Callithrix jacchus: one gene and its partners. The protein of the gene in region 1 binds, or shares a complex with, the protein of each later gene. Links are inferred from orthologs where the notes say so. Each region holds a gene or a part of one and is shown in the gene's direction. Other genes may lie near its edges.

Evidence for each region.
Region 2: the proteins of YWHAZ (region 1) and MAPT are in contact, whole or in part, in a crystal structure (PDB 8QDV), measured with the Homo sapiens proteins. The link is inferred for Callithrix jacchus from reciprocal best matches to the Homo sapiens genes YWHAZ and MAPT. Residues at the interface, in NP_001129171.1 of Homo sapiens: Glu14, Leu43, Ser45, Val46, Lys49, Arg56, Arg60, Lys120, Arg127, Tyr128, Glu131, Gly169, Leu172, Asn173, Val176, Glu180, Ile217, Leu220, Asn224; in NP_058519.3 of Homo sapiens: Ser637, Cys639, Gly640, Ser641, Leu642, Asn644, Ile645, His646, His647.
Region 3: the proteins of YWHAZ (region 1) and PRKCE are in contact, whole or in part, in a crystal structure (PDB 2WH0), measured with the Homo sapiens proteins. The link is inferred for Callithrix jacchus from reciprocal best matches to the Homo sapiens genes YWHAZ and PRKCE. Residues at the interface, in NP_001129171.1 of Homo sapiens: Asn42, Ser45, Val46, Lys49, Arg56, Lys120, Arg127, Tyr128, Gly169, Leu172, Asn173, Val176, Glu180, Leu216, Leu220, Asp223, Asn224, Leu227, Trp228; in NP_005391.1 of Homo sapiens: Lys365, Ala366, Leu367, Ser368, Phe369, Asp370, Asn371, Arg372.
Region 4: the proteins of YWHAZ (region 1) and CDC25C are in contact, whole or in part, in a crystal structure (PDB 5M36), measured with the Homo sapiens proteins. The link is inferred for Callithrix jacchus from reciprocal best matches to the Homo sapiens genes YWHAZ and CDC25C. Residues at the interface, in NP_001129171.1 of Homo sapiens: Lys11, Glu14, Gln15, Glu39, Val46, Lys49, Asn50, Arg56, Arg60, Val61, Ser64, Lys120, Arg127, Tyr128, Glu131, Gly169, Leu172, Asn173, Val176, Glu180, Asp213, Leu216, Ile217, Leu220, Asn224, Trp228; in NP_001274511.1 of Homo sapiens: Gly210, Tyr212, Arg213, Ser214, Pro215, Ser216, Met217, Pro218, Glu219, Asn220, Leu221, Asn222, Arg223, Arg225.
Region 5: the proteins of YWHAZ (region 1) and ITGA4 are in contact, whole or in part, in a crystal structure (PDB 4HKC), measured with the Homo sapiens proteins. The link is inferred for Callithrix jacchus from reciprocal best matches to the Homo sapiens genes YWHAZ and ITGA4. Residues at the interface, in NP_001129171.1 of Homo sapiens: Lys49, Arg56, Lys120, Arg127, Tyr128, Glu131, Gly169, Leu172, Asn173, Val176, Tyr179, Glu180, Ile217, Leu220, Asn224, Leu227, Trp228; in NP_000876.3 of Homo sapiens: Arg1007, Gln1008, Tyr1009, Lys1010, Ser1011, Ile1012, Leu1013.
Region 6: the proteins of YWHAZ (region 1) and MAP3K5 are in contact, whole or in part, in a crystal structure (PDB 6EJL), measured with the Homo sapiens proteins. The link is inferred for Callithrix jacchus from reciprocal best matches to the Homo sapiens genes YWHAZ and MAP3K5. Residues at the interface, in NP_001129171.1 of Homo sapiens: Val46, Lys49, Asn50, Arg56, Lys120, Arg127, Tyr128, Glu131, Gly169, Leu172, Asn173, Val176, Tyr179, Glu180, Ile217, Leu220, Asp223, Asn224, Leu227, Trp228; in NP_005914.1 of Homo sapiens: Ser964, Ile965, Ser966, Leu967, Pro968, Val969.
Region 7: the proteins of YWHAZ (region 1) and PI4KB are in contact, whole or in part, in a crystal structure (PDB 5NAS), measured with the Homo sapiens proteins. The link is inferred for Callithrix jacchus from reciprocal best matches to the Homo sapiens genes YWHAZ and PI4KB. Residues at the interface, in NP_001129171.1 of Homo sapiens: Asn42, Ser45, Val46, Lys49, Arg56, Phe117, Lys120, Arg127, Tyr128, Gly169, Leu172, Asn173, Val176, Tyr179, Glu180, Leu216, Ile217, Leu220, Asn224, Leu227, Trp228; in NP_001317650.1 of Homo sapiens: Lys290, Arg291, Thr292, Ala293, Ser294, Asn295, Pro296, Lys297.

Annotation. Positions count from the first base shown.
Region 1 is NC_133517.1:96,015,692-96,019,926, forward strand, and holds the start of YWHAZ (14-3-3 protein zeta/delta), read left to right. Parts: upstream 1-1,432; 5' UTR 1,433-1,564; intron 1,565-2,910; exon of another isoform or gene 2,911-3,061; intron 3,062-4,235.
Region 2 is NC_133506.1:86,636,252-86,640,327, forward strand, and holds the start of MAPT (microtubule-associated protein tau), read left to right. Parts: upstream 1-1,248; 5' UTR 1,249-1,381; intron 1,382-3,240; exon of another isoform or gene 3,241-3,512; intron 3,513-4,076. UniProt on the Homo sapiens protein: Promotes microtubule assembly and stability, and might be involved in the establishment and maintenance of neuronal polarity.
Region 3 is NC_133515.1:68,787,667-68,791,236, reverse strand, and holds part of PRKCE (protein kinase C epsilon type), read left to right. Parts: intron 1-2,804; coding exon 2,805-2,934; intron 2,935-3,570.
Region 4 is NC_133503.1:36,746,442-36,750,011, reverse strand, and holds part of CDC25C (M-phase inducer phosphatase 3), read left to right. Parts: intron 1-1,728; exon of another isoform or gene 1,729-1,976; intron 1,977-2,388; exon of another isoform or gene 2,389-2,392; 5' UTR 2,393-2,425; coding exon 2,426-2,619; intron 2,620-3,570. UniProt on the Homo sapiens protein: Functions as a dosage-dependent inducer in mitotic control. Tyrosine protein phosphatase required for progression of the cell cycle. When phosphorylated, highly effective in activating G2 cells into prophase.
Region 5 is NC_133507.1:47,594,396-47,597,965, reverse strand, and holds part of ITGA4 (integrin alpha-4), read left to right. Parts: intron 1-781; coding exon 782-888; intron 889-980; coding exon 981-1,110; intron 1,111-3,570. UniProt on the Homo sapiens protein: Integrins alpha-4/beta-1 (VLA-4) and alpha-4/beta-7 are receptors for fibronectin. They recognize one or more domains within the alternatively spliced CS-1 and CS-5 regions of fibronectin. They are also receptors for VCAM1.
Region 6 is NC_133505.1:143,406,001-143,409,570, reverse strand, and holds part of MAP3K5 (mitogen-activated protein kinase kinase kinase 5), read left to right. Parts: intron 1-391; coding exon 392-528; intron 529-2,322; coding exon 2,323-2,428; intron 2,429-3,570. UniProt on the Homo sapiens protein: Serine/threonine kinase which acts as an essential component of the MAP kinase signal transduction pathway. Plays an important role in the cascades of cellular responses evoked by changes in the environment.
Region 7 is NC_133519.1:11,221,518-11,225,807, reverse strand, and holds the start of PI4KB (phosphatidylinositol 4-kinase beta), read left to right. Parts: upstream 1-1,441; 5' UTR 1,442-1,607; intron 1,608-2,623; exon of another isoform or gene 2,624-2,734; intron 2,735-4,286; exon of another isoform or gene 4,287-4,290. UniProt on the Homo sapiens protein: Phosphorylates phosphatidylinositol (PI) in the first committed step in the production of the second messenger inositol-1,4,5,-trisphosphate (PIP). May regulate Golgi disintegration/reorganization during mitosis, possibly via its phosphorylation.

The DNA of each region.
Region 1 (4,235 bases):
GTTTAAAGAAGGAAGGGGCAGAGATCACACTGTGTTTCTGAACTTCCTTAAGTCAACTGGGCGGAGGCCCTACCGGTTCAGGCACCTGCAATTTCCGCCTTTCTCCTTCCCCCTCTTCCGGGCTCTGTCCCCGCTCGTCGCCCGGCCTGTGGCCCACTCCCATCGCCAGCTGGGGCCCTGGGGACTACGACGTCCTTCAAAGCTTGCTTTTAGAAGACAAAACGGTAATGATAGTCACGTTTTAAATCACTGCAGTGTGAGCTCTTCACGTGAACGCTTTATTTGGGTAGGAAAACCTAGCCTACGAGAAACAGGCCCGTGCGGTCACGCCTGACTGCTCGTCTCCGGGTCAGCTGTGCCAGGACCAGCTCCAGCCCCCCACCGGAGAAGGCGATCCTTTCCCCTCCGCACTCTGGCTTCCCTAAAGCGGCCGCGCCTCCTTCCAGGCCTGACCTCCCGCCGGCTCCGCCCGGCCCGGCCCACCTCGCCCCATCTCGGTGCCCACCCATTGTCCCCTCTCGCTGTCACCGAGCGCAGATCCCGAGCTCCCGATTGGAACACCTCCCCATCACTCAGCCACACTCCCGTTTCCGAGCCATAAAAGGTCTAGGGCCACTTCCCCGGAGCCAGCAGGTAAAGCCGCGGCGGCGTAAGGGAAGCAGGGAGCGGCCGCGCCCCCTGGTCGACCCAGCCGAGCAAGGGGAGCACACCACACACAGCCCTCCCTTGCCTTGCGACCGCGCCCTGTCCTCGCCCCAGGGCCCCCACCCTGCAAGTCCTGATCACAATGCCGGAGCCGCCGACCCACACTCGTCATCCTGCCCCGGGACGGCCCTGGGACAGTGACCACCGCGAAGCACCGAGGGCAGGGCAGGGCGGGCCGGGCCTCGGGGAGGGGGGCGGGGTGGGGGGGATGTGAAAGGTCCCGGATGTTGCTGAACTGGAGCCCCTTCCAGAGGAGTGAGAGGAGTGACTGGCGCAAGCGCAGACCGGCTGAGCGAAAGCTAACGTGGGGGTAGGGGTAGGGAGACAGCTGCCTTCCCACAGGCTCAGAGGTAGAGTGGGCCGGTGGAGGCTGCAGGGGAGAGGACGTCGGGGACCTAAGGGGAAGGCGAGGAGTCGGGGGGATCTGCGTTGGGGAGGAAAAGAAAAACAGAAGCTTCCCGCCTAGGTGCACTCCGGACAAGCGTAGAGGACCTGGGAGCCGAGCCGGGTGGGGGAGTGGCCGTAGCGGGCGAGGACGCGCGCTCCTCCGCTCGCCCTCCAGCGCGGGCGGGCAGGACGCGCGCCGGGGAGCGGCGGTTGCGCGAGGCCCAGATCGCTGTGGGCACTAATCAACGGTTGCCATAGCAGCGTTTGACGTCATCGTGCGTGTGGTGCCCCTGCTGCCGGGGCTGGTGATTGGAGGAAACCCCGTGTCTGCGGAGCGGCTGTAGCCTGTGAGCAGCGAGATCCAGGGACAGAGTCTCAGCCTCGCCGCCGCTGCCGCCGCTGCCGCCGCCGCCGCCGCCCAGAGACTGCTGAGCCCCTGTCCGTCCGCCGCCTCCACCCACTCCGGACACAGGTGAGGAACCCGTCCGCCGCCGCTCCCCGCTCCTCCTGTCCCAGGCCAGCCTTCTGAACGCGTGGGAGCCGTCCTCACCGGGTCCCCTCATCCCCGCTCGCCCCACGGTGGCGGCGCGGGGCTGAGGCGGAGTCTCCCCGGCAGACACGGGCGGCGGCTCCTCTTCCGCTGGGCTCGGGCGGGCGGCTAGCGGCAGCCTCCCGCGCCTGGTTTCCGCGTCGCCGCCCCGGCCCCGATCGGTGCTCGCTCCCCCGTCCCGCTCCCGGGGGTGGGGAGGGCGCCCACACGCGAGATCCCCGGGGATCCCCCGTCGCCTGCTCCCGAAGCCGGACGAGGCATGGCCGGGGCGCCGCCGGCCGCGATTCGTCCCCACCCTTGTTTCTGCTTCTACCCCCGCCCTCGCTGCCCTTCTCGCTTCCGCCCGAGATAATGACTCGGCGGCGGCGGCGGCGGCGGCGGGCATCGCGGGGGCGCAGGTGAGGCCGCCCCCTCCCCTGTCCCTCGGCCGCCCCTTCTTTCCCCTCCCCCGCTCTCCCTCCCCCGCTCTCCCTCCCCCTCGCGCAGCCTCCGCGCTGGGCGCTGCGGTGGCGGGACCCGGCCCTCCCCCACCCCGGGAGGAGGTAGCGCGGCGGGGAGGGGCCGGGGGCCTCGGGGACACAGGCGGGAGGGAAGGGCCTGGCGGAAGCGGACAGGAGCCCGGGCCCGGCCCGGCGGCGGGAAGGGAGCCCACTGCGGGGGGAGGCTGTGGGGTGGGGCTCGCCTGGGACCTGGAGCTGAATTTCCTGGGCTCCGCGGTGGGGGGAAGGGCTTGAATTTTCTCGGTGGGGACGGGGGATGGGGATGGGGATGATTTTCTTTCCTCCTTATGAACCGTCGGGGAAGGCGCGGACTGGGGCTGTGAGCCCAGGTTGGGGTAGAGCGGGGTGCGGATCCCGCGATAGGCTCTCGCGCCGGAGTCACTAGAACTGGAGGGTCCCTCCGCCGCTTCGGGGACGCACAGTGATCCTGAGCAGAGCGGCCGCCGGTGGCCCGCTCGACTGGGTGTGGCTCTCGTCCCCTCCCCCACCTGCAGCTGTCGGGCCCTTAGGGACGGTGCACGCGGGCACCGGCGCTGATCGGTGGCGGGGAGAGCGCTGGGTGGGAAGGCGGGGTGTGTCCGCGGTGAGGCTGCTAGTGGTTCCGCTTCTGCGGGCGTCTCTGGCGTCTCTGCCCCGGGGTCGGGTGGCTTGGCTTCCCCCCACGGCTCGAGCGGGGGCGGGGGCGCCGGCTGCTCCTCCCCCTTGCTCCGGTGGGGGGGGGAATTAACACTCAGCAGTAGGTTGGGCTCCCTGACACAGATCCGCCATGACAAAGGAGGAGAGTCGGGGACCTGAGCGGAGGCTCGGGCTTGGGCGGAGCCTGGAGGGGGGTGGTTGCAGATACGCGGACCCGAGGATTTGCACTTTAAAGTCCGGGTCTGCCCGTTTTCTTTTCACCCTAACCGATGTCTCAAGTCAGGTAAGGGTTAAATGGGTGCGGTGAGTCCTGCCCGCAGTGTAGAGGCGAGGCCTTGGAGCCATCGTTACTGTGTGAGAAACCTTATCCACTTCCTCTTGTACCCAAGTAGTGGGGGAGAGAATCCTTTGTGCTGGTTTGAAATCATTTTTCGTTAGAAGCAGAATTAGCCAGAGAGCGTGTCTCAGTTCCTAAGGGAAAAATTAATAATAGAGAGACCTGAGGAAAAGCATGTCGTCATAAAGGTTAAATAATTTTTATGGGTGAGCCAGTACCTTGCATCCAAATTAGCTAATTACTTGCTTAAAATGTGAGGACATGTTCTCTCATTTGGTTAAAAAAGTATTGTGGGATTTCCCTGGGAAGGTAAAAGGTAATTAATATTCGGGAGTCAGCTCCCAAGGTGGGTGGGTCAGAATAGCTCTTCTGTTCACCTTCTAATTTAAAATATACACTTCATTTATGTGTATATTTTCCTCTAAAGTCGTTTATTCTGCGGTCTCACTGTGTGGATTAGTGTCTTTGTGCTGTTTAGCAACTTTGAAAAGGATGTCCTTCCAGAAAAATGTAGCTGAGGTAAATTGAAAAGGTCTAGGAAACTATGTGAGGGAAGGAGTTAGGTGGGTAGTCACGGCAAAGGACAGCTTGAGTGATAGCATGCAGTTATTGTGACGGTGACAGCTAGAAGCAGGATGCGGCACTTACACATTGCAACTGGAGCCATGACATTGCAAACACTTGTAAATTAAGCACTTCCAATGTGATGTATTTTAGTACTCACAGTAATAGTTGAAGGGCCATGACTCGTGGGTATTTTTAAAGCATGTGGACATACAACACGATAAAGAGTTGAGGCATTAGGGTCGGTTAGATGTTGGTCCTTTGTGGTGGCTTTACAGTAAAAATATCTGAGAACAAGCAGTTTGGCTATTCCTCCCCTAAAGTGTTATGCTATTACGGCTGGCAAATGTTACAGAGATCTAGTAGATTTGGAATGAGGGGAAAACTAAAATTTAATCACTCCTTATTATGAAAGTTAAAAGACATAAATTACATTAAACTGACTTACGATTCTGGAAGTATGATAGAAATCCACATGTTCTGTAAGCAGTACGTTTACAAAAGGAAGAAAAGCTGCTTAATTTTATATCACTTAGTGGTATTGGAATTGAGTTGA
Region 2 (4,076 bases), on another chromosome or scaffold:
TCACTTTGAGCAAGCTCTCACGTTGGTTCTCAGTCCTACTTTTTTGGGTATATGCCCCTCTGCTTAAAAATAAAATTTATATGGATATATATATATATGGTCAGTTCCAGAAACTCAAGTGTGAAAAATGCACTTTACTTGCTTTTTCTATTAATCTATAACATACGTTGGTTTTTTAAAAAGCATATAAGAGCTATGCAAATTGGAGCTTCAAGACAACTCCCATCTCCCTAGGAGGAGATGGCTGCCCTAAACCCCCATACATAGAAATCCTCCCACTGCCAGGGCTTAAATTTGATGCTGGGGAAATGAAAACTGCAAGCTAAGGCCAAAGCCTGGGTCCTGAGTGATCAGCAGAATGAGAACCACCTCAGTTTCAGGCTGAGGTGCGTATTTCAGGGGACAATCTCTAGCTGGCCCTTAAACATTCAGACTTCAAGCTCTACTTACAGTGTGAAGGTGTTTCAAAAGACGTGATACAAGTAACCGTGAGTGTGCAAATGCTCTGCGATGTGCTAGGCACTATTTGAATTTCGTCTAATTCATGATTTTTGTTTCTAGCGTCACGGTTAGATACATCACAGATTCAAATGCTTTTTTTTAAAAGTACAGTTCTACTGCACTGTAACTGAATTAGCTTGCTTTAAGTGAATTTGTTAAGGAAGTTTCACCTTGGTCAGTAACAAAAAAGGTGGGAAAAGAGCAAGGAGAAAGAAAGCAGCCCGGGGGAAAGCGACCTCAGCCAGGGAGAGGTTTCGGGTTCCGGAGGGTCGGGGTGGACGGACTGGGGGCCGGCCACGTGGAAGCCCGCTCAGGACATCTCTAGGAGAGGACACCGCCCCAGGCTGACTGAAAGGAAAGGGGCAGCGGACCTACGGGCGGAGCCACTGGCCTTGCCCCGAACCCCCAGGGCTAGAAGAAGGGGACCCCTTCGAAGAGACAAAGACGACAGCTACAGGAGGCGGAGAGTGCGCGTGCGCCAAGGAACACGCGTGCGCGCTGCGGTCAGCGCCGCGGCCTGAGGCGTAGCGGGAGGAGGATCGGGAAAGGGCAGCGCCGAGAGGAGCGAGCCCGGAGGCGCGGGACGGCCGAGCGGTGGGGCGCTCGCGCGCGCCTACTGGTGGCCGGAGGAGAAGGCGCCAGCGGACGCTGCCCGCCCCCTCCTCTGGGGAAGCTCGTGCTCCCGCTGCTCGCGCCTGCGCCGCCCGCCGGCCTCGGGAACGCGCCCTCTCACCGGCGCGCGCCCTCGCAGTCACCGCCACCCACCAGCTCCGGTACCAGCAGCAGCGCCGCTGCTACCGCCCACCTTCTGCCGCCGCCACCACAGCCACCTTCTCCTCCTCCGCGGTCCTCTCCCGTCCTAGCCTCTGTGGACTATCAGGTAAGCGCCGAGGCTCCGAAATCTGCCTCGCCGTCAGCCCCTGGGTACCCCCGCGCCGCCGCCCCTAGCCCTCCCCCGCCGCAGACGGGGGCTTCGTGCGCCGGGCATCAGTCAGGGCTACCGCAGGGCCCCTCCCTGCTCACGCTGCTCGGGGACTGGGGCCGGGGCGGCCTGGAAAGGGACGTGAGCAAGGGCTGCACGCACGCGGGAGTGTGCTGGAGGGTCCGCACCTCCCGCTTGGCCCCGACCCCAGGTGGAGGTTGTGCTCGCAGGGTGGGGCGCGGCGGCGTTGACTTCGGGGAGGGGGCTACTCTTCACTCTCGATCTCAGCCTCTTGCCGCAGTGTGTGTGTGTGTAGGGGTCCAATAACGACCCCCAAAACCGAACCTGAAATCCGCTGTCCCTGCCGCTTTTCGCCGTCAGCCCTAAAGAAGATGCGGATCGGGTTCTAGAAAAGATGATTCCCTGCATGCCCCTCCCTGCCCCTCCCTAGCAGTGGTTCCGACAAGGCCTTCACTGCCCCTGCTTTTAGATGGTGGCCGACCCCCTCCCCATTTCCTCCTTCAGAAACCCGTAGGGGACATTTGGGGGCTGGGAGGAATCAAGGAGATGGGGAGGGGTCCAGGCGCTGTCACTTTAGCTGCCCTTCCCCCTGCGCACGCCTGGCACAGAGACACGAGCAGCGACGTTCCTGAGAGCAGTGCGCGGCTCCCAGTGTGCACGCTCGCAAAGACGGGGGTCACCTGGCCTGGCGACACGAATGGACTCGGTGGCCGCCGATCCCCGCTCGCGGGAAGGCACAGCTGCAGCCTTGCACTGACGGGCGCAGAGGCTGCAGGTGCATCTCGGGGCGGGTTTCTTAGCGTTCGACACGCCGGACTCCCGGCGTGTGCGCTCCCTGCCGGAGGCGCGGGGCTGGCGCGCAGGGCTCGCCCCTCACTGCGGCAGTGGGTGTGGACCCTGGTGGGCGAGGAAGGGGGAGGATAGTCTGTGCCTCCTCCCACTCCCGCCCCCACCCCCGTTTTTTCCCCTCGGAACGCGAGGTGCCATCTTTTTTCGGCGTGTCACGTCTTTGCGGTGCCATGCCAAACCGGGTGGCCAGGCTTCGGAGGACAGGGCGGGGCCTGGCATTAAAGGGAAGGGGACAATCGGCTCTAAAATCTTGGCGTTTTGCTGCTGCGGGCATGAGCACTGGGAGCGTTCACCCAGCACCTCCTTCGGGGGCTCTGCTTTGTCTGTAGAGGTTACGTGATCTGCGCTCTCAGTCCTGGTTTCTGGCTTTTATTCTGAGGGTGTTTAGCCAACCTCCCTCCTACCCCCACGCACCTCTCTTTCCTTTTTTCGCTCCTCATTTCCGAGCCCATTGTTGGATCTCCAGGCTTGCTGGGGTAGATGAACCTGAGTCAACCCCCGGCACGCCTGGAACGGGCGTGACCGCGCGCAGCCTCGTCTCGGAGTCTGTCTGCGCCAGGAAGCTTCTGAAGGGGTGGAATTCGAGTCTCTGCGCGCGCTGCGGGCGGCGGTAGTGGAATCGCGCCCTTCCCTATACCCCAAGTGTCCTGAGGACCACGACACATCAGGTTGCCCAGCGAGGGATGCTGGCTACCCATCCGGGGATGGGTGGGGAGCCCCGGCGGGGCCCCTCCAGCTTTGCGCCCTGTTGCTTCGCCTGGCGGGAGAATGTGAGGACGGGGACATAAGGTGCCTAATGCTGCGGCCACACCCATCTTTCTGAGCCCACTTGAGGGGGCGCGAAGGGGGCATTGCCATGGGAACAACAGGCGTCTGGAGAGGGGACCTTGGGGCTGGCCCCACCCCTTCCCCAAGGAGATTGGGAACCCTGGGGTAGGCGGGGCTGCGTCCAGTCAGCCTTCTGGAAGACACAGGAGGAAGCCCCCAATCCCTGCGCCTCTGGCTCTTTCTAATTGGCCCCTGGCGGCCGCAGACACGCAGATAAGTGGCCCAAGGTGTATTTTTATTAATATTATGGCCGTACTGATTAATATTCTTTATCTGAAATGCGGGATTTTCACCGGAGTCCAAGTTCACCGCACCCCCAAAACCGAGTCTGGGGCGGCAGGGGGAACTCCTGGCCAACGAATCTGAGCCTCGACCTCCTGTGATGAACCTGGTACGTGCGGTTTTCTGGGTAATTATATCACTGAAAACTGGTGCGGGGGACGCACTTCTGAAACGAATGAGCATCTAGGGGCTGAATCCTCCACTTGGGGCGCCCAGGTTGATCTGAATTTCTGAGGAATGGCTTGGCTTGAGGGGACGAGAGCCCGCCCAGGACCAAGCCGACCGTTCTTCTACTGTGGCGTCGAGGGCTGGAGCCAGGTTGCTGCGAGGCTCCCCGCGTGGCTGGGCGGGCCGCGAGGGGTTGCAGAGCGGCTAGGGATCGATTCAAGCATCTCCTCTCCTCCCTCGCCCCCAGACAGAGCTGGGCGCGGGATTCTCGTTCCAGATGGAGCGAGGGTCTTGGGGCGGCCTTGGAAAAAGGGAGCCCGCAGTCACAGCTGCCTGTTGCCGTCTCTCGAGCAGAGGCGTCACCTCCCGTCGTTGGAGGAAAGGGAGCCCGGTGAGGGTGAGCGCGTTTAGCCCAGTGCTGGGAACAAAGCGCAGTCCTCGCTTCTGCGATTTCGCTCCATTTTGAAATGTGTTGGCGCTTTAGTGGGGCCACTGCGGTGGTCAA
Region 3 (3,570 bases), on another chromosome or scaffold:
ACAGACATGTGTAGTCCTAAACACCATGCTCTTAATGCCCTCCCTCCTATCAAAAGGTGATCTGATGATGGGCTTCCTGAGTGTTCTGCACCACGAATACTCGACCGGTCCCCCCTGTCTCATGGCCGTGGTGCCGTAGCACACGGCAGACTCCCACCCTGCCTGCACTTCCTGGTGTGGTCACCAAAGAATGCTCTGTCTCCTCTGGTGTCACCTTTTTTTTTCTTTAATCTCACAATTCCTTGTGCCCTTCTCTTCCTCTCCGTGTTCTCTTTGTGAATCTCGCTCACCCAACTGTATCTGTGTCCTCCTCAGCTAGCACATGTTTGGCGTGTCCCCTGCATGCATGCCATCTCCGTGTTGGCCTCTTGGTCCATCTGATGCTGTGGCATGCTCTCGTATAGCCTCCTTCATCCTCCTCCCTCTGTTCTGTGATACCTTACAGTTTTTAGTCATCCCAACTGAGGGTCCTGAGCTCTTTCCCAACTGAGCTCTATCTACCCGCACACTGATTTCTTGGTCATCTGGGACAAGTTCCCCATTTTTCACCTTAGTCTGTCATTCATACCCCTATGAGGCGATTCCTGGGAGACCAAGACTCTGTTCTCAGTAGGGGTCCACCACGCCTTCAGGGTTTATATAGGAATAGAGTGAGCACAGTGATCTCATACGTCCTTAGCAGTGAGGCAGACCGTGGCAGAGTCAGCATGTCTACATCCACAAACAGGCATGCCTAAGCTGCGCATCTAAGGATGGGTGAGTACAGTTGTTTTCAACAGAGCTGACATCCATGTTGCCAGGCAAGACCCGAAGTGGCAGACCATCCACTTCAGTAGTAGGGATCAGTAAAATCTTTGTCCACTGGAGGGATCAGCCATTCCGTGGGACTGGGTGATAGGGAAATGTCATGAAGACACGCAGCCATGTCTCCATGCTCGCCTTTATGCTCCCTTGCCAGCTCGCATTTCACTACTCATTAGTCCCCCACGGGGGCCTGTCACTCACCAGTCAGCCAAGGAGCCAAGGCCCAGCTTCTTTGCTGCATGCCAGCCACTTCCTAATCCCTGGGATAGCAAGAGTGATCTTCTCCCCAGCCTATGGATGTCTCCGGTGATGGTCTCCTGCTGATTTTGAGAGGGGCTGAGGGGTGCAGCTGCTCCACTAAAGATAGATGGAGGATAGCACTGTGGAGGGCAGAGATGACCCAGAAAGGCAGCCAGCAGACTCTTGCTTCATGGAATGTGTTATGCTTCTAGCTTCTTCCATCCCTGTGGTCTCATTGACCTGCCGTCCTGTGACGCTGGGTGGAATGGGAGTGAGCAGCCATCCTTATTTGTCACATGAGAAATCCCAGTCTCCGAGAAGTCAGGAAACCTGCCTGAGACCTCATGGGTGGGTAGTGGCAGACCCAGGCCCCCAGGAGCACACCTGGACTTCTGTTCTCCCTTCCTTCCCCTTCTGTCTTGACACCATCTCTTTAACCCTTTTAAATACTCCATGAGAGGCAGCATAGTGGTTAAAAATCCTGGACTTGGCCGGGCATGGTGGCTCACACCTGTAATCCCAGCACTTTGGGAGGCGGAGGCAGGTGGATCACGAGGTCAAGAGATCGAGACCATCCTGGTCAACAAGGTGAAACCCCGTCTCTACTAAAAATACAAAAAATTAGTTGGGCATGGTGGCGCGTGCCTGTAATCCCAGCTACTCAGGAGGCTGAGGCAGGAGAATTGCCTGAACCCAGGAGGCGGAGGTTGCGGTGAGCCAAGATCCCGCCATTGCACTCCAGCCTGGGTAACAAGAGCGAAACTCCATCTCAAAAAAAAAAAAAAGCCTGGGCTCTGAATGCAGATTCATGGGGATGGAAGCCTGCATTTGTCTCTTGTCAGTTTACCCACATGTTTCTTGATTTTGCTGTGAAGTTGGGTTAACAATGGGCCTGCCCTGTAGGGTGGTGGGGAGGTTTAACTGAGATCATGGTGCCTGGCATGTGGTCAGCGCTGAGACCTTAGCATTCCTAGCACTCATCCCTCTGTCCTGGCCATCTTCCTCCTAATTGTTGTCCATCCTAACAGATCCGGTTTCCACATTGTGCGCGGTTTACACGCTGCTGCACAGAATCCCATGACTACCATTGAGCTGCCTGGAGACTTTTTGCCTAAGTGGGGCTTCCAGGCACACAGCAGCATTGAAGGTGCAAATTGTTTTGTTGTTGTTGACAAAGAGCCTTGCTCTGTCACCCAGGCTGGAGTGCCATAGTACAATCTCAGCTGGCTGCATTTCCACCCTCCGGGTTCAAGTGATTCTCCTGCCTCAGTCTCCCAAGTAGCTGGGATTACTGGTGCCCACCACCACTCCTGGGTAATTTTTCTATTTTTAGTAGAGATGGGATTTCACCCTGTTGGCCAGGCTGGTCTCAAACTCCTGACCTCAGGTGGTCAGCCCACCTGAGCCTCCCAAAGTGCTGGGATTACAGGTATGAGCCACTGCACCCAGTCTGAGGTACAAACTGAGGACAGTGTACTGTGATTGCTTAAAGTCCTGAAGTCCTGGAGGGGACTGCGTTGGGGAGCAGGCCCTGCCTTGCACAGTCAAATAGAGCAGCCATCACTGAGTTAAGAGTGTCAGGAGCCAAGGCTGGGGCAGGATGGAGGCTCTTTCACCTCAGGGCAGCTTTCAAAGCCAGGCTAGGGCCTGCCACCTACAATCACACGTGCTCGCTCAGAAAGAAGTTCTGTGAGAGCTCCAATGACAATCTGGGGCCCAGAGGCACTCAGTGGTGACCCTGTGTCTTGCCGTCTCTGCAGGTGGGCTCCCAGCGGTTTAGCGTCAACATGCCCCACAAGTTCGGCATCCACAACTACAAGGTCCCCACCTTCTGCGATCACTGTGGCTCCCTGCTCTGGGGCCTCTTGCGGCAGGGTTTGCAGTGTAAAGGTAAGTTGCTCCCTGCCCTTCCCTCAGCCACCCGTACATCCCCTTCCCCGCTACCTGCCCCCAATCCCTGCTTTGTAAAACACCTTGTCTGTTCCCATAGCCTAGAAAGTGAATACCAGATTTGGCCAAGAACTGAGTACAAGCCTTTGTTAAGCTCACATTAGTAACTCTGCGCATTTTGTAGGCAGTCTCTGGGCAGAGACCAGCCAGTACTGGGTGAAGAGAAACACCAAGGAAGGAGGAGAGTGGACCCCATGCCTTAAGATCACTCACAATCCAGGAGACAAGATGAGTCTACAAAAGCTTAGACATAATTTAAGGAAAGATCTATCAGGGCAGAAGGAAAGCAATATTTTTGGAGTTAGGTGGTGAAGGAAGTGATAGCTGTGAACTGGGACCCTCTGACATGGTCCACAGCGCAGTGCTTACTCTTTGAAAGAGCCATGCTAGAACCTTGTCACATAAGATAGCTTGCTGCTTTGTCACCAGCTTGGGACATAGGGGATATTATCCCCACGGCCCTGGTGAGGAAACAGAGGCTCAGAGACGAAGCAACTTTCTCACATCACACAACTTATTAGCAGAAGTAGGATTTGACTTGCGTCCTGGGTTCCTTCCTGTTTCCTGCTGCGCCAC
Region 4 (3,570 bases), on another chromosome or scaffold:
CTATTGAATGATGGTTTTTGGAGCCTACATCTTAAAGAGCTTCCAAGGTTATTTTTGGAAGATTTTTATTATGGAAATTTTTAAATATACACTGAAGTAAGGAGTATTAGATAATATCTTACTACTCAAAGTGTGGTCCTAGGACCAGCTACCTCACCATCAGCAGGGGGCTGGTTAAAATGGAAGAATCACCAGGCGCGATGGCTCAAGCCTGTAATCCCAGCACTTTGGGAGGCCAAGGCAGGTGGATCACGAGGTCAAGAGATCGAGACCATCCTCGTCAACATGGTGAAACCCCGTCTCTACTAAAAATACAAAAAATTAGCTGGGCATGGTGGTGCGTGCCTGTAATCCCAGCTACTCGGGAGGCTGAGGCGGGAGAATTGCCTGAACCCAGGAGGCGGAGGTTGCTGTGAGCCGAGATCGTGCCATTGCACTCCAGCCTGGGTAACAAGAGCGAAACTCCATCTCAAAAAAAAAAAAAAAAAAAAAAAGGGCAGATTCTTGGGCCACAACTGCAACGCAGACCTCCTGAATCAGAATCTGCATTTAGCAGGTCCCCAGGTGGTTAGTGTGCACATTAAATGTTGAGTAACGCAGATATGATGGATCCTCCTGCCCCCTATTGCTCAACACTCAGGGTCAATCTTCTATCATCAATACCCTCCCCCAGCACAGGATTATTTAAAAGCAAATCCCTAACATCAGGAATGTCTGTTTTTGTTTTGCGACAGTCTCACTCTGTTGCCCAGGCTGGAGTGCAGTGGCACAACCTCAATCTCCCGGGTTCAAGCAATTCTCATGCCTCAGCCTCCCAAGTAGCTGGGATTACAGATTGTGTGCCACGACACTCAGCTAATTTTTGTATTTTTAGTAGACACAGGGTTTCACCATGTTGGCCAGGCTGGTCCTGAGCCCCTGACCTCATGTAATCTGCCCGCCTCGACCTACCAAAGCGCTGGGATTACAGGCGTGAGCCACCGCGCCCGGTCAATAATTTCTAAATATCACCACTTAGTCATTGTTCAAAAATTCCATTAATAATCAAACTTTGAGGTCTTCTGGACTGTGATAAGGATTATTCCGGGATGATTTAATTCCTTCACTTCCCTGCAACGGAATTTCTTTTTACCCACGTACAATAGTGTCTCTGAGATGCTGCACACTGAAAGAAACCAAATAAGGAAAGCTCTCGGAAGAGGCCAATGCCTCTCATCATAAACACGCACACCTGTCTTGCCCCAACACCTGCCACACCGGCAGCAAATGCTCCATCTTTCGTGGAAGGCCAGCAAAACGTAGAAGAAAACGCCGGCACAAGAAAGAAGCCATGAAAATGAAACGCTTAAAACATCCTACACCCAAAACAGTCTTTCCTAGTATTATCCTAGGGGAATGGTCATTGCTAGCCAGGCGCGATTTAAATCTCCCGGGGTTCGTGGGGTGGAGGGAAACGAAGAAAACAGAAACGCTGTGGCGATTGCTCAGAGGGAGAGCCAATGATACGTCAGGCTCCCCTTAAGGCGGGCATACCCCGCAGCCTTGCTCAGCACTGGTGGGCCAATCGCTATCTTGCTCTGGTTATGGGGCGGGGCAAGTCTTTCCACTTCCAGAGCAAGCAACGCCCCCGGGTGATGTGCGAGCCCAATGATTGGCCATGAGGGTCTGGGCGCGAGCGCGGAGATTGGCTGACGCAGCTTAGAGGCGAGCCGGGATAAGTTACTGGGCGGGCGGAAGGTTTGAATGGTCAACGCCTGTGGCTGTTGGTATTTTTGCTCCGAGGCTGTAACTTCGGCCTTCTGCTCAGGGGAGCCGCCGAGTCCGACGCTGGCCTCCCAGTTGGGAGGCAGAGTTGCGGTTTAGTTAACTGTCTACTTTCTCCAGATTTCCTTTTATTCTGTTCGAGTCTCCGCCTGTGTCCGACCCCTACCCACCTTCCTTCCTCCCGACGGCAGGCCTCAGACTCCAAGCTTGAGGTAAATTCGCAGTGGTCTCCGCCGCAGAATCATGGAGACTCCATTGACCCCTTAGGGTCCAGTTGGGCCCCCACAAACGGAGGTTGGGAAGGCCGAATGGGCATTATTGCGAGTTACCAGACTCGGGTTCCTTCTGGTCAGGAGTCTGGAGCTGTGTCGCGTGGAACGAGTCAAGATCCTCTCTTTATTCCATCTTTAAAGTCCTAAGGTTGCCTCTCGTCAGTGAATTCAGGTTGTAACCTGAAGCCAAGCCGCTTCGACCAAGTGCTGTTTAACCTTTAAGCCACTCTGTGAATCACCCTTCGAGGATGCCCCTCCTCCAGTGCTGGTCCGCCTGACTGAAAAGGGTGGAGGAGTTTGGGAAAGCTGAGGGAACTGTGATGTACTGATATAGATGATGTTTTCCTCTTAGCTAGGTTTTGTTTTTCTCCTGTGAGAACTCGAAGACCATGTCTACAGAACTCTTCTCATCCGTAAAAGAGGAAGGAAGCTCTGGCTCAGGACCCAGTTTTAGGTCTAATCAAAGGAAAATGTTAAACCTGCTCCTGGAGAGAGACACTTCCTTTACCGTCTGTCCAGATGTCTCTAGAACTCCACTGGGTGAATTTCTTGGTGATTCTAGAAATCTCAGCATTTTGTCTGGGTAAATATACTTTTATTTTTACGTCTTATTGCCTTTGCTATTTCCAAACAGTTGGGTTTTTTGTTGGTTTGTTTTCAGTTATCTGGCTCAAATGTCAGGGTTTGGGTCTCAGCTCTTCCCTTGACACTGTAATCCTTTTGAGTCTCACCTTCTTTCCTGTGACATAGAAATAATAATCTCAGCTGGGTGAGGTGGCTCATTCCTGTAATTTGCACACTTTGGGAGGCCAAGGAGGGCAGATCGCCTGAGTCCAGGAGTTCAAGACCAGCCTGGGCAACATGGCAAGACCCCTTCTCTACAAAAAATATTAAACAGCTGAGTGTGGTGGTTGGCACCTATAGTCTCAGCTACTCGGGAGGCTGAGGTGAGGTGGAAGAGTTGCTTGAGCCTGGGAGCTGGAGGCTGTAGTGAGCCAAGATCACCTCACTGCATTCCAGCCTGGGCAACAGAGTGAGATCCTATCTCAAAAATAATAATAATAATAATAATAATAATCTCTTCCTATCTTACTAGGATCTTGTGAGAATCAAATGTTCTGATATCTGGGAAGAGTCTTTGAAAACTGCTACATTATGAGTTGGTCACATTATTAGTATTAATATTAGCGTTATTGCAGTTGTACTTTGAATTCTGATCGTATCATGTCTCAAATAGCAAATAGAGAAGTAAGTACCTGGGAAATACTAGGGACTCAAGGGAGAAATCAAGTCTGTGTTCACTTTGCCCAGGATAGAGAATGTGGGGTCAAGATCTTCCTCTGCCAATAAACTTTGGGCCTCATTAAAGAAAAAACAATATCTGTTTCAGTATGTTGGTAAGGAGAAAATGAGGTATACATTATAGTAGTGGGAGATTTTTCTCAGCCTGGTCTGAGATATTTTCAAAAGCAATTAGATTTATTTGGACACTGTTCAGATGATCTGATAGACATTAAGGGATATTTTGGCCGAG
Region 5 (3,570 bases), on another chromosome or scaffold:
TTAACATAGGATTTTAATAGGAACCCAGCTATAACACAAAGAATTTTTGCTAACAAAAATGATTTCTATGAAGACCACTTCTTCTTATACAGTATGGAAGTACTATATAGTGCATGAGTATTTTATGTTTGACTTTGGCTATTCCTGATTTGCCAAAGTGCCTGTTGAAATTTTCTTTATTAACTACTGAAATAATCTTGTTTTCTAAATAATTTAATCATATTCCAATAAATGGAAACATAGGGCAAGGAATCATTGGTATGCTAATTCCATGTTTCACTGTCCACATGCTTAATCATCACCTTCTAGCTCCAATAAATTGTACCATAATTGCTGAGGATGTATTATAGTCTTTCTATTCTTGATATCTCAGTAGAAGAAACATTTTTAAAAGTGCCCTGATAATATTGCTTATATTGTTAGATAAATGGTTAATTATTTTCGAAACATTAGACACAGCAGCTGTACTTGCACAACCTGGTATTAGCTTTAACTGGTTTTCCCCACTCCTAGTCCTGGTAGCTGTCTCCTGTATGATCGAGTCTGTCTCTTCATGGTGCTATCAGTTAGAGGTCATTTCTACAAACAAAAGCCACCTTGTATTAGAAAGGAAGAATGTTGGCATAGACTAATTCATTATCCTCACATTGTGCACTGAGTATAAGATGTTAGAGAACTGGTTAATGGAAAAGTACTGGGGATGAGTGCACAGTTTATTTTCTCTGCTTTTGTAGAATGTTTTCAAGACAACTGATGAAAAAATTATGTTCAAATGCTGTAGGTAGCCCTAATGGAGAACCCTGTGGAAAGACTTGTTTGGAAGAGAGAGACAATCAGTGGTTGGGGGTCACACTTTCGAGACAGCCAGGAGAAAATGGATCCATCGTGGTAGGTATTGGAACTGATCTACCAATCCATGGTGAAACCAGCTATCCTGGGTGCAGCTTTCACGTCATTTGGTCTACTTTTATTTTATTCAGACTTGTGGGCATAGATGGAAAAATATATTTTACATAAAGAATGAAAATAAGCTCCCCACTGGTGGTTGCTATGGAATACCCCCCGATTTACGAGGAGAACTGAGTAAAAGAATAGCTCCGTGTTATCAAGGTAAGGCATGAGTTTGATATTAAGTAGCTCAAGATAAGTAAGCGAATGCTTTTTAGTGCTTTTATGTTCAAGTTTAGATATTCAGAGGAGAGGGAGATATTCTAAGTAATTATGTTCTTTTTAACTACCCAATTTCTTCCTTTTCCTTCCTTACTCAATTGCAATAGCATTCATTTTCATAAATGTACTTTGTGCTATAAAAATTTTACAATTTGAGTAACTGAAATTTAACTGGGAATTGCTCACTTTTGCATTAAATTTACTTTCAATTTGGCATGAGTCTAGTGCCCAGCAAATATAGGATACTTAGAATTGTGAAATTATATTGGAAGTCTGATTAAAAAGATAAAGACATTAGGTTTCCTGTTTTACCTTTAGCTTCCAGGCATAATCGGAAAGAATAAAGTAATCAGTGTAAGCAAATCCTTCCTTCCTACTCACTATCTTTTTTCTAATTCACATGTATTCCTTCGAGCAGCAAGAGATTGGTGTCTTGAGTTTGAAACATTTTTCTCATGGTAACTCTATGCTATAGGTAGCATCAGCAAGTATGGAGCTAGGACATAAATAACAGAAGTGAGCAGAGTTGGGGTGAATGTCAACGGAGCATGTCAAGTGATATCTGCAGCAAAACTAAAATCCAACAATGTGCCTTTAGAAAGCTAAGAAACATATGAATGCCAATTTCTAATTTCTAACCATCCTCACCCTCAAATTCTCCAGCATCCAATGAAAAGTTTCATTAGTTGACAAAACTTTAGCCAAGAATTGGAGTTCAATTCTTGGTAATATTTGGATATTTCTTCCCTGGAATGTGAGGTCACAGAGCAACTTATATTACATATATTGCTATTTTGCCTTTGGATACCTAAAAGATAAAAAAGTGATTATTGAATTCTCAGTTGCAGTAAAACTCAGTCTAGTTTTCTGTATGTTTTTATCTTATTTTTCCTAATAGTTTATGGTTTATCTTTAAAATATTTTCAGAGTAGAGTTTTTAGTTTTTCTCAGATCTACCTAGCCACATACAATGAAAATCTCAATAAACCTAACACATCTACAATTGTAAAATACAGGACCAGGTAAGATATATATATTTTTAAAAGGAATGAAAATTCCTGACTGGAAAGATCAGAAATTTTCTGACTGGAAATTGTAATTATAAATGATTAGCAATTTATTTAAGTTCTCTGCTTAGCAAAGCCAAAAGGAAGCTGTGGTTCCAATTCTTATTTTCAAAGTTTTCTCATGTCAGTTTTTTTGAAAGAAGCAAAGCTTTGCCCCCTTAGTGAGTTCCAAAAGCATTCGTTCATGAGGCTTTGTAATAAGCGACCTTCATGTTCATGCAGATCTTGATTCAGCCTATATTTTCAGTTGGGCAAAATCTAAGAAAGGATACTCTCTTCAGTAAATGGTGTTGGCAACCAACCTAAATGCCCAACAGTGGCAGATTGGATAAAGAAAATGTGTGTTCAAAGGTAAAAGCCATTTGTCCTCTTCCTTTAGCTGACATTTATTGACTACTCACTGTCTGCCAAGCACTGTTCTAAGACCCTTGCTTGTGGTACTTGTTTTGCAAATGAGGAAACTGAGGTACAAAGAGATGAAATTATTGGTTTAAGGTTGCATAGCTAACACATGACATAGCTGGGATTTGAACATGCACAGTCTGGCTCCAAGGCCTGAGGTGTCAGCAGCCTGCTTCATGTTTCTGTTTATTCTCTCTCTCCTCTGAAAAAAAAAATGTGATGTATACACCCATGGAATACTGCACAGCCATAAAAAAGGACTAGATTGTTTCCTTTCTGCAACTTAGATGGAGCTGGAGGCCAATAACCTAAGCAAACTAACACAGAAAACCAAATACCACATGTTCTCACTTATAAGTGAAATCTAAACATTGAGTACATATGGATACAAAGAAGGGAACAACAGGCCATGGGGCCTACCTGATGGTGGAGGGTGGGAGCGGGGAGAGGATCAAAAAACTACCTATCGGGTACTGTGCTTATTATGTGAATGGGGAAATAATCTGTACACCAAACCCCCGCAACATGTAATTTATCTATGCAACACACTTGCACATGAACCTTGAACCTGAAAGTTTTTTTAAAAATGCCATTGGGAGAATTGGCTAGCTGCATGCGAAAGAATGAAATTTAACCCTTATCTTAGCAAATATACCGAAGTGAACGGGATTAAAGACTTAAACATAAGACCTGAAACCATAAAACGCCTAGTGAAAAACATAAGGGAAAAGCTACTTGCCATTAGTCTAGGCAATGAGTTTTTGGAAATTACACCAAAAGCTCAAACAACAAAAGCAAAAATAAACAAATAGGACTACATTAGAAAGCTCTTGCATAGCAAAGGAAATGATCAACCGAGTGAAGAGACAGTCTCCAGAATGGGAGATGGTATTTGCATATGTCTGATAAAGGGTTAAGGAACTCACCAACT
Region 6 (3,570 bases), on another chromosome or scaffold:
ACAACTTGCACGCTGCATGACTCAGGCCACAAAGTTACATTCCTTAAATAATAATAAGGCTTAAATAATTTAAAGTTCCAAAAGCTTTACATTTGAATTATGTAATTTCGCAGAGACAGTGCGTAAATATGGGAACCATTTCAGTACCAATCATCTTGGCTTGAATTAAGGTTAGCAGTTGACACTGGCCTTTTACTTAGACGCATTTGGTAGCAAGCTTCTTCAGAGCAGGGCTATTTGCAAATTTATGTTTGAGCCCAATATCTAGTACAGGGCCTGGGCCACTGTGAAGAACCAATGATTGTTAGCTCAAATTACTGTTACGTTATTAATATTCTTTAAAGAGCTCATTTGAATGAGGTTTTATTTACTATTTATTCCTACTTTACAGGAAGTCTTTCTGCTCTCCTCCGTTCCAAATGGGGTCCATTAAAAGACAATGAGCAAACAATTGGCTTTTATACAAAGCAAATACTGGAAGGATTAAAGTATCTCCATGACAATCAGATAGTTCACCGAGACATAAAGGTGGGGTGCACCAGGATTCGTTTTCATGAGTTCTTTCTTTGCTGGGTTATTATTTTACTTGCAAAAGTCATATTGTGTTATGAATGTTAATTTAGAATGGTGAATAAGTAATTCTTAGAAACAGCAGAAATCTAAGCTATAATTCCGCCCTGAATCACTTCTTTATGTTCATGTGTTATCACTTCTGCTCAAGGAACAAACTGCTTAACTGTTCAGCCAACAAGATTGTGCTCCCACTATATGATGCTTCCTAGGGGCTCCGCAGGGTGGGATGCAGTTGTCTAAAGTTAAACAGGGCCCTGGTCCTGAGGAGCTTACAGGCTGGTTAATCTTTGTATCCTTTTCCATAGTAGCTACTCAGTAAATACTTAATGAATCAATGGATGAATGGTTAGAAGAAAAAAAAAATTCCTCTTTTCTCACAAGTATCACATATTCATTGATTGAACTATAATTATAAGGTATAGATTCTCTAAAATTAAAATAATAACTTTACATTCTCTTTTTAAAAAGAAAATTCAGAACAAATACATTTTTCACAAAGTCTAGACTATTGAAAGTAAGTTAATATTACTACCCTAAAATCAACCAAAATGCCCATTTATCTGTAGTGTCCCTACATGTTCCAGGAGAAAAAGTAAAGAACCATAGAAAAGAAAGTAAAGTAATTGGAAAGTTATGAAAATCATAATTTAATTATGCATATATCATTACATATCTGTAAATAGCAGCAAGCTCTAACCAATTAGGAATCATATTTGGTCTTGTGATCTGAGTAACAGATTGTGAAGAACTTATAACCACACAATGAGTTCATCTTGCCCGCTGACCAGATAGAGCTGACTTCTCAAGACAGAGGAATTGCAATCGAGAAAGTTTAATACACATAGAGATGGCTAAAACCAGATATTGGCGTTTTATAATAATTCACATCAGCCTCTCCCAAAATTTAGAGGCTAGGGTTTTTCAAAGATAGTTTGGCGAGCAGGGGGCTAGGGTACATGTGCTGCTGACTGGTTGAGGATGCAATCATAGGTGTGTGGAAAATGGTTCTTGTGCACCGAGTCCACTTCTGGGTGGGGGCCACAGTAATGGTTGAGTCCAGAGTCACAGGTCTGGGTAATGCCATCTGGTAGTCAGATATGGAGTAGCCTGAAAAGACAGCTCAAAAGGCCAGTCTTAGGATCTACAATAGTGATGTCAATTATGAAAACAACTGGGGATGTTGCAAATCTTGTGACCCCCAGAATAAGGAGCTGATAATCATGTAACTATGCCTGCATCTTAGCAGACTTTAGGCCCCTCTCATCCTCCTAACCTGGTTGCCTTTCCTTAGGTTTATGAAGGTGGTTTAGTTTTGGGGAAGGGCTATTATCATCTAAACTATAAACTAAATTTCCCCAAGTGAGCTTGGTCTACACCCTGGAATGACCAAGGGCAGTTTGGAAATTTAAGGCAAGATGGTGGTTGTTAGATCATATCTCTTTTACTGTCATCATTTTCTCACTGTTATAATTTTTGCAAAGGTGGTTTCACACTGATAATATGTAAACAAAAAACAGTATCAAAAATTCACTATTGAGATCAACTACTAATGAAGAATACAGAATTAGTGTCATTGGTTGCTGTAAGGACAGCTTTTTTAAAAATTGGACTTACCAAGTCAACAACAGACAGTATCTGAAGAAAGATAACATTTGTGCAACAAAAAAAAAGAAGAAAAAAAGAGAAACAAAAGAAAATTAAAAAAAGAAAGAAAGATAACATTTGTGATGAAAGTCCTCTGTTCTCTAGGGTGACAATGTGCTGATTAATACCTACAGTGGTGTACTCAAGATCTCTGACTTCGGGACATCAAAGAGGCTTGCTGGCATAAACCCCTGTACTGAAACTTTTACTGGTATGTTTTTACAATGATGATACAGATCTCATGTAATTAAAGAAATAATAATTGCTGAGTTTGAGCATAATGTGAGAGAGAAATTCAGTTGGTGTTCTCACACACAGTAATGTTGGTATCTTTTCTCTTTTCTTTCTTTCTTTTTTTTTTTTTTGAGACAGGGTCTTGCCCTGCCACCTAGGCTGGAATGCAGTGGTGTGATCACCGATCACTGCAACCTCAAACTCCCAGGCTCAAGTGATTCTCCCACCTCAGCCTCCCGAGTAGCTGGGACTACAAGCCTGCACCACCATGCCCAGCTAATTTGTTTTGTATTTTTGATGGAGACAAGGTTTCACCATGTTGCCTAGGCTGGTCTCAAACTCCTGGGCTCAAGCAATACACCTGTGGCCTCCAAAAGTGCTGGGATTACAAGTGTGAGCCCCGACACCTGGCCAGTATTGGTATCTTTCGATGCTCACTGAAAAATGTGTTACAGAATTTTATTTGGCTCTTTTCTCTTCCTGTATTTATATGACTTGCTTAGTTAGTCTCCTGCTTAATGCCACTGAAGTTTTTTTTTTTTAAGTCTCAACTTGTTATTTGTTTTTCTTTTCATGTGATTACTTCTCTCCTGGTTGGCCTACAGTAACTCCAGCAAGATTTTTTTTTTTATTAAACATTTCCTTGGCCCAACCTCTCTGTGATTCTTACTCATAGCCTAATCACTTCCCATTTGGAGGAGGAATTCCCTCTTTTACTGTTTACTCTCTGTTGTTGACTCCCCTACGCCACAATATAAATAACCACAGGATTTCAATTCAGAAAGAGGAAGTGACTAACTGACTCACAAGAGGGAGGGAGAGAGCCTTCCTGAGAAATTAGGCAATGCAGCCCCTGAGCTGCCTGTAGTGCAGTCCTGAGAGGGTGGAGACCAAGTGTTTCCAAAAAGGTAACAGTAGCCAAGAGGAAGCTCAGACTCAAGAGATTCAAGACTGCTCAACAGTAATAGGGAGGGTATGTGAGATTTCAAACCTGATCTCCACTCTAGGTTCTTATCACTTCATCATGCTGATTCTCATGAAGGGTTAAGTTCTTCTTATAGAGAGAAATTTAGCAAAAAAAAAAAAAAAAAGAGAAAAGAAAAGAAAGAAAGAAAGGTC
Region 7 (4,290 bases), on another chromosome or scaffold:
CCCCCTTGTATTAATATTACTTCATATGTTTTATTTGTAGACATAGAAACTGAGGTTCAAAGAGGTTACATTAGTTATTCCAAATCAAACAGCTTGTAAGTGGCAGGGAAGATGGCATTCACAACCTGGGCTCAAATAACTAGCCTCATTGTATTATGTAAGGCCCTAACGAGGGGGCCTGAATTGCATATTAAGTAAAGCTCTAGGAAAGGCGTTGAGATAGAGGTTCTGAAGACAAAGAGGGCTCTAAATCAACAATGTTAAGCGAAAATTACACAAAACTGGCTGGGCGAGGTGGCTCAGGCCTATAATCCCAGCACTTTGGTACCTGAGGCCGGCAGATTGCTTGGGGCTAGCAGTTCGAGACCAGCGTGGGCAACATAGCAAGGCAACATTTACAAGACAAACAAACACAAAATACACAAAAGCAACACCAGAGGCCCATTTGCATGGCGTGTTTTTGTTTATTTGTTTGGTCTAACACAGTTTCGTTTTGTCTGGAAGAAGGGATTGTGCCCTCCAAGCCTTTGTCATTTCACTCACCTCTCCCAACCTGGCCCTGTCCGGCCCCTCCCTGGAGGGCTCGGCGTGTGGATGCTGGAGGCCACCGGCTGCCCCGGCAGGTGGTGACCTAGGAGGCAGAACCACGCCCTCGAGTCGGGCCTCTGACGGCGAGAGATTGACACGGTTGGACCGCGCCATTCCCGAAGCGTTAAGGGGCGTAATCTCCTCATCGCCCTCGAAGATGAGTAGGAAAAGGGCAGTGAGGGCGAATATCTTCCCCGTCCGCCGTCTCTCTTTCTGCGGCCTTCTGGGAACCCAGCGTCTATCCCACGGCCTGATTTGCTAAGGGAGTGTTGTTGCATCGGGGATGGGGAAGTCATTGATTGTAATTACGGTAACTCGGTTGGTAACTCAAACGGTCATTTACATAAAATTTGAATGTTAATGTACTTCTGGAAGTATGCAATATGTCCATGCTTCTCTAACAGGGCACCCACGCCCGCCTGCTCACCCTACTTATGCAGCAAATTCTACTTCTCTCTCGGCTTCTGCAGCCTCGCAAACGCTAGCTGTTAGGTCCTCTTCTTAAAGATCGGCCCCGCCTCCCACCCATAAGCTCCTCCCTTCGCTCTCCCTCGCGAGCTTCCAAACATCTTTTCCACGCCCCCTTTTCTATTTTTGAACAGGCATGTTCCGGGCAGCTCACCCGACTCCTTAGATTACTATGGGATCGGTAGGGTCCTGAGCGTTGGGGAAGCAGGAAAGCATATCCTGGGAAGAAGGGATTGGACTCAGGAGAAGAATCGTACATCGAGACCTTCTGGGGAATTTTATTTTATATTATTTTATTATTGTTTTGGTCTTGGTTGTACTGAGGGAGGAAGAGGAGATTGTGTCGCCCGGTCGAACTTGTGGCAGCCTGAAGGCCCCCTCAGGCGGCGCCGCGGGCAGCCCCGCAGCCGGGGCCTGGTGCAGCCGCCGCGGCCGCTGTCAGGGAAGCGCAGGCGGCCAATGGAACCCGGGAGCGGTCGCTGCTGCTGAGGCGGCGGTGTCGGCAGTCCGACCCCGACTGCCCGCACCCCCTCCGCGGGGGTCCCCCAGAGGTAAGCTAGTTCTCCTCCATGAGTCACCTTTGCCCTGTTGCGCGGGGGGGGGGGTGTCCCTCTCCCACTCTGTCCCCCACAGTCTTCCCCACCTGAGTTCGACTACGAAACAGCCCTCTTGGTGTCAGCTGCACTCCGGATTCCTTCTCCACCCTCTCCTCTCAGGCCTGGGGTCCTCCTCTGCTTTTTGGCTTCCTCTTCAGTTTAGCTCCTCCCTCTGCCTCGGGGATTTCCCCCCTCCCTCACTCTTATCCCTGTTGCCTACGTCTGGAATTATTCTTTTTTAAGTCATGAACCCTTTCCACATCAGACGATTTCCACAATGCCCATCCTTGTCCTTCCTCGTCGTCTCTGCCCCTGCTCCAGACCTCTTCCATGGACTCCACCTTTATCTCTTTTCCTAGTTTGCCCTTTTCCTCCGAGGTCCCTGTGCAACCCCAGCACTGGGTTCCCATTTCCCTGAGCTAAAGATTGTATCCCTGTCTTCCTGTGCTGCTTCTGATTCCATTACCTCACCGTCACCCACCCACCCAGCCAGCTCCTGGCTTCCAAGAATTGCCTGTTCCCTTCTCCTTAAGGGATCTCGGGCCCTTGTCATCAGTCCCAAAGTACCATTTACATTCTTTTTTTTTTTTTTGAGACGGAGTTTTGCTGTTGTTACCCAGGCTGGAGTGCAATGGCACGATCTCGGCTCACCGCAACCTCCGCCTTCTGGGTTCAAGCAATTCTCCTGCCTCAGCCTCCCGAGTAGCTGGGACTACAGGCGCGCGCCACCATGCCCAGCTAATTTTTGTATTTTTAGTAGAGACGGGGTTTCACCATGTTGACCAGGATGGTCTCGATCTTTTGACCTCGTGATCCACCTGCCTCGGCCTTCCAAAGTGCTGGGATTATAGGCGTGAGCCACCGCGCCAGGCCCACCATTTACATTCTTACTACAAGCCTAGTCCTCACTATTCTCTGGTATGCATTATGATCCCTATAACTTTCTTCATCTTCTCTTTCTCCCTCCTCAGTCTCCCAGCCTTCTGGAGATTTCTGTCTGTAGGGGAGAGATTTGAGTGCCCTTCCCATTCGGGATTTCCAGCTTTGACACCTCCCTCGAGTTTCAAGGATTTTGCTGATCGGTGTGTACTTGGTTCTGATTTCCCTGTGGTCTCCATGCATCCTCTATTACACTCTTTCTCTCCACATAATACTTCATTTCAGGATCAACTAAACCTTGAACTGAGAAGAAAAATGTGTTGGGAGCAGGGGGAGCCTCAGCTGCCTCAGGCTGTTCAGAACAGAAGGGTGCTTCTGAAGGCTGGAGCAAGTTTTGAAGCCTTCCCTATCAGATTACACTTGGTTGACTAACTCAGGAGCAGCCACTAGGAGGGATGAACAGGCCTGCCTGGAAACTGAATGAGATTATGAGGAATCTTGTTGCAGATTATTTAATTTTAGGCGTTTGTTAAAGGAATTACAGAATAGAGTGCCATCCCACCCCTGTCCAGATCCACGAGGAATCAGTTTAATGTCTGTGGTTTACTAGAATAGTTTTGGTTGGTTCCATAAGATCCCAGGCCTGGAGAGGGGTAAGGGTGTAGCTGGAAAAAGGAACATGAGACAATGGAAAGAGCTTATACATCCAGAATCAGGACTCCTGCTTTCAGCATGTGACTTCCTCACTTGACCTCTAGAGTGATCCTTTCGGAAAATGGCCCACTCTATATAGGCATCAGTACAGTAATAAATTGGTAGCAGGATGTGGGTTGGGGGAAAAAATCAGAATTGGTTTATTTGTTTACAAAACATTTTGGGTTCCTCAGGCAAAAGGTATTTATTAGTAGTGGTTTAGTCATCCTCAGAATTTTCCTTCAACTTGGTCTTTCTGTTGGATGTTTCTAGTCTACAACCAGGGGTGTAAGTCATTTAGAAAGACAAGCTCCAGGCCTGCTTCCTTCATCAGCTTTACTTTTTCCCCCCAGTGTGTTAAGTGGCTGATTTTCTTTGCTGTTCCTCATGTACTTGATCCATAACTCCAGATTCTATAGGTGGAAAGTATGTTTGTGGGAAAGTGCTTTGAGGAAGCTGGCTGGAAAAGAGAACTTGGAATGAACTAGGACTTAGGCAGCTACTTGCTGCTATGTCTCTCTCTGCCTGTGTTGGCGAAAGGGCATGTGAGATTCCATTCATTTTCTGATTCTAGGCCTGTTTGGGAGTAGTTATGTCATCTTATCCCACTTCTCCCTTCTCTTGTCATTAGCCACGGTGCAGTCTCCTCATAATTCCCCTTATTAGAAGAAGCTTTCTGGCTGGGCGCAGTGGCTCATGCCTGTAATCCCAACACTTTGGGAGGCTGAGGTGGGCAGATTACAAGGTCAGGAGATCGAGACCATTCTGGCCAATATGGTGAAGCCCCGCCTCTATTAAAAATATTAAAAAATTAGCTTGGCATGTGGCACATGCCTGTACTCCCAGCTACCCAGGAGACTGAGGCAGGAGAAATGCTTGAACCAGGGAATCAGAAGTTGTGGTGAGCCGAGATTGCACCACTGCACTCCCCTGGCAACAGAGTGAGTCTGTCTCAAAAAAAAACAAACAAACAAAAAAAAAAACAGAAGAAGAAGCTTTCCTCCTTGGAAGCATCCCCAACCAGAAATCATATTTCCTCTCATTTCCCTGCTTTCTTCCTAGAGTT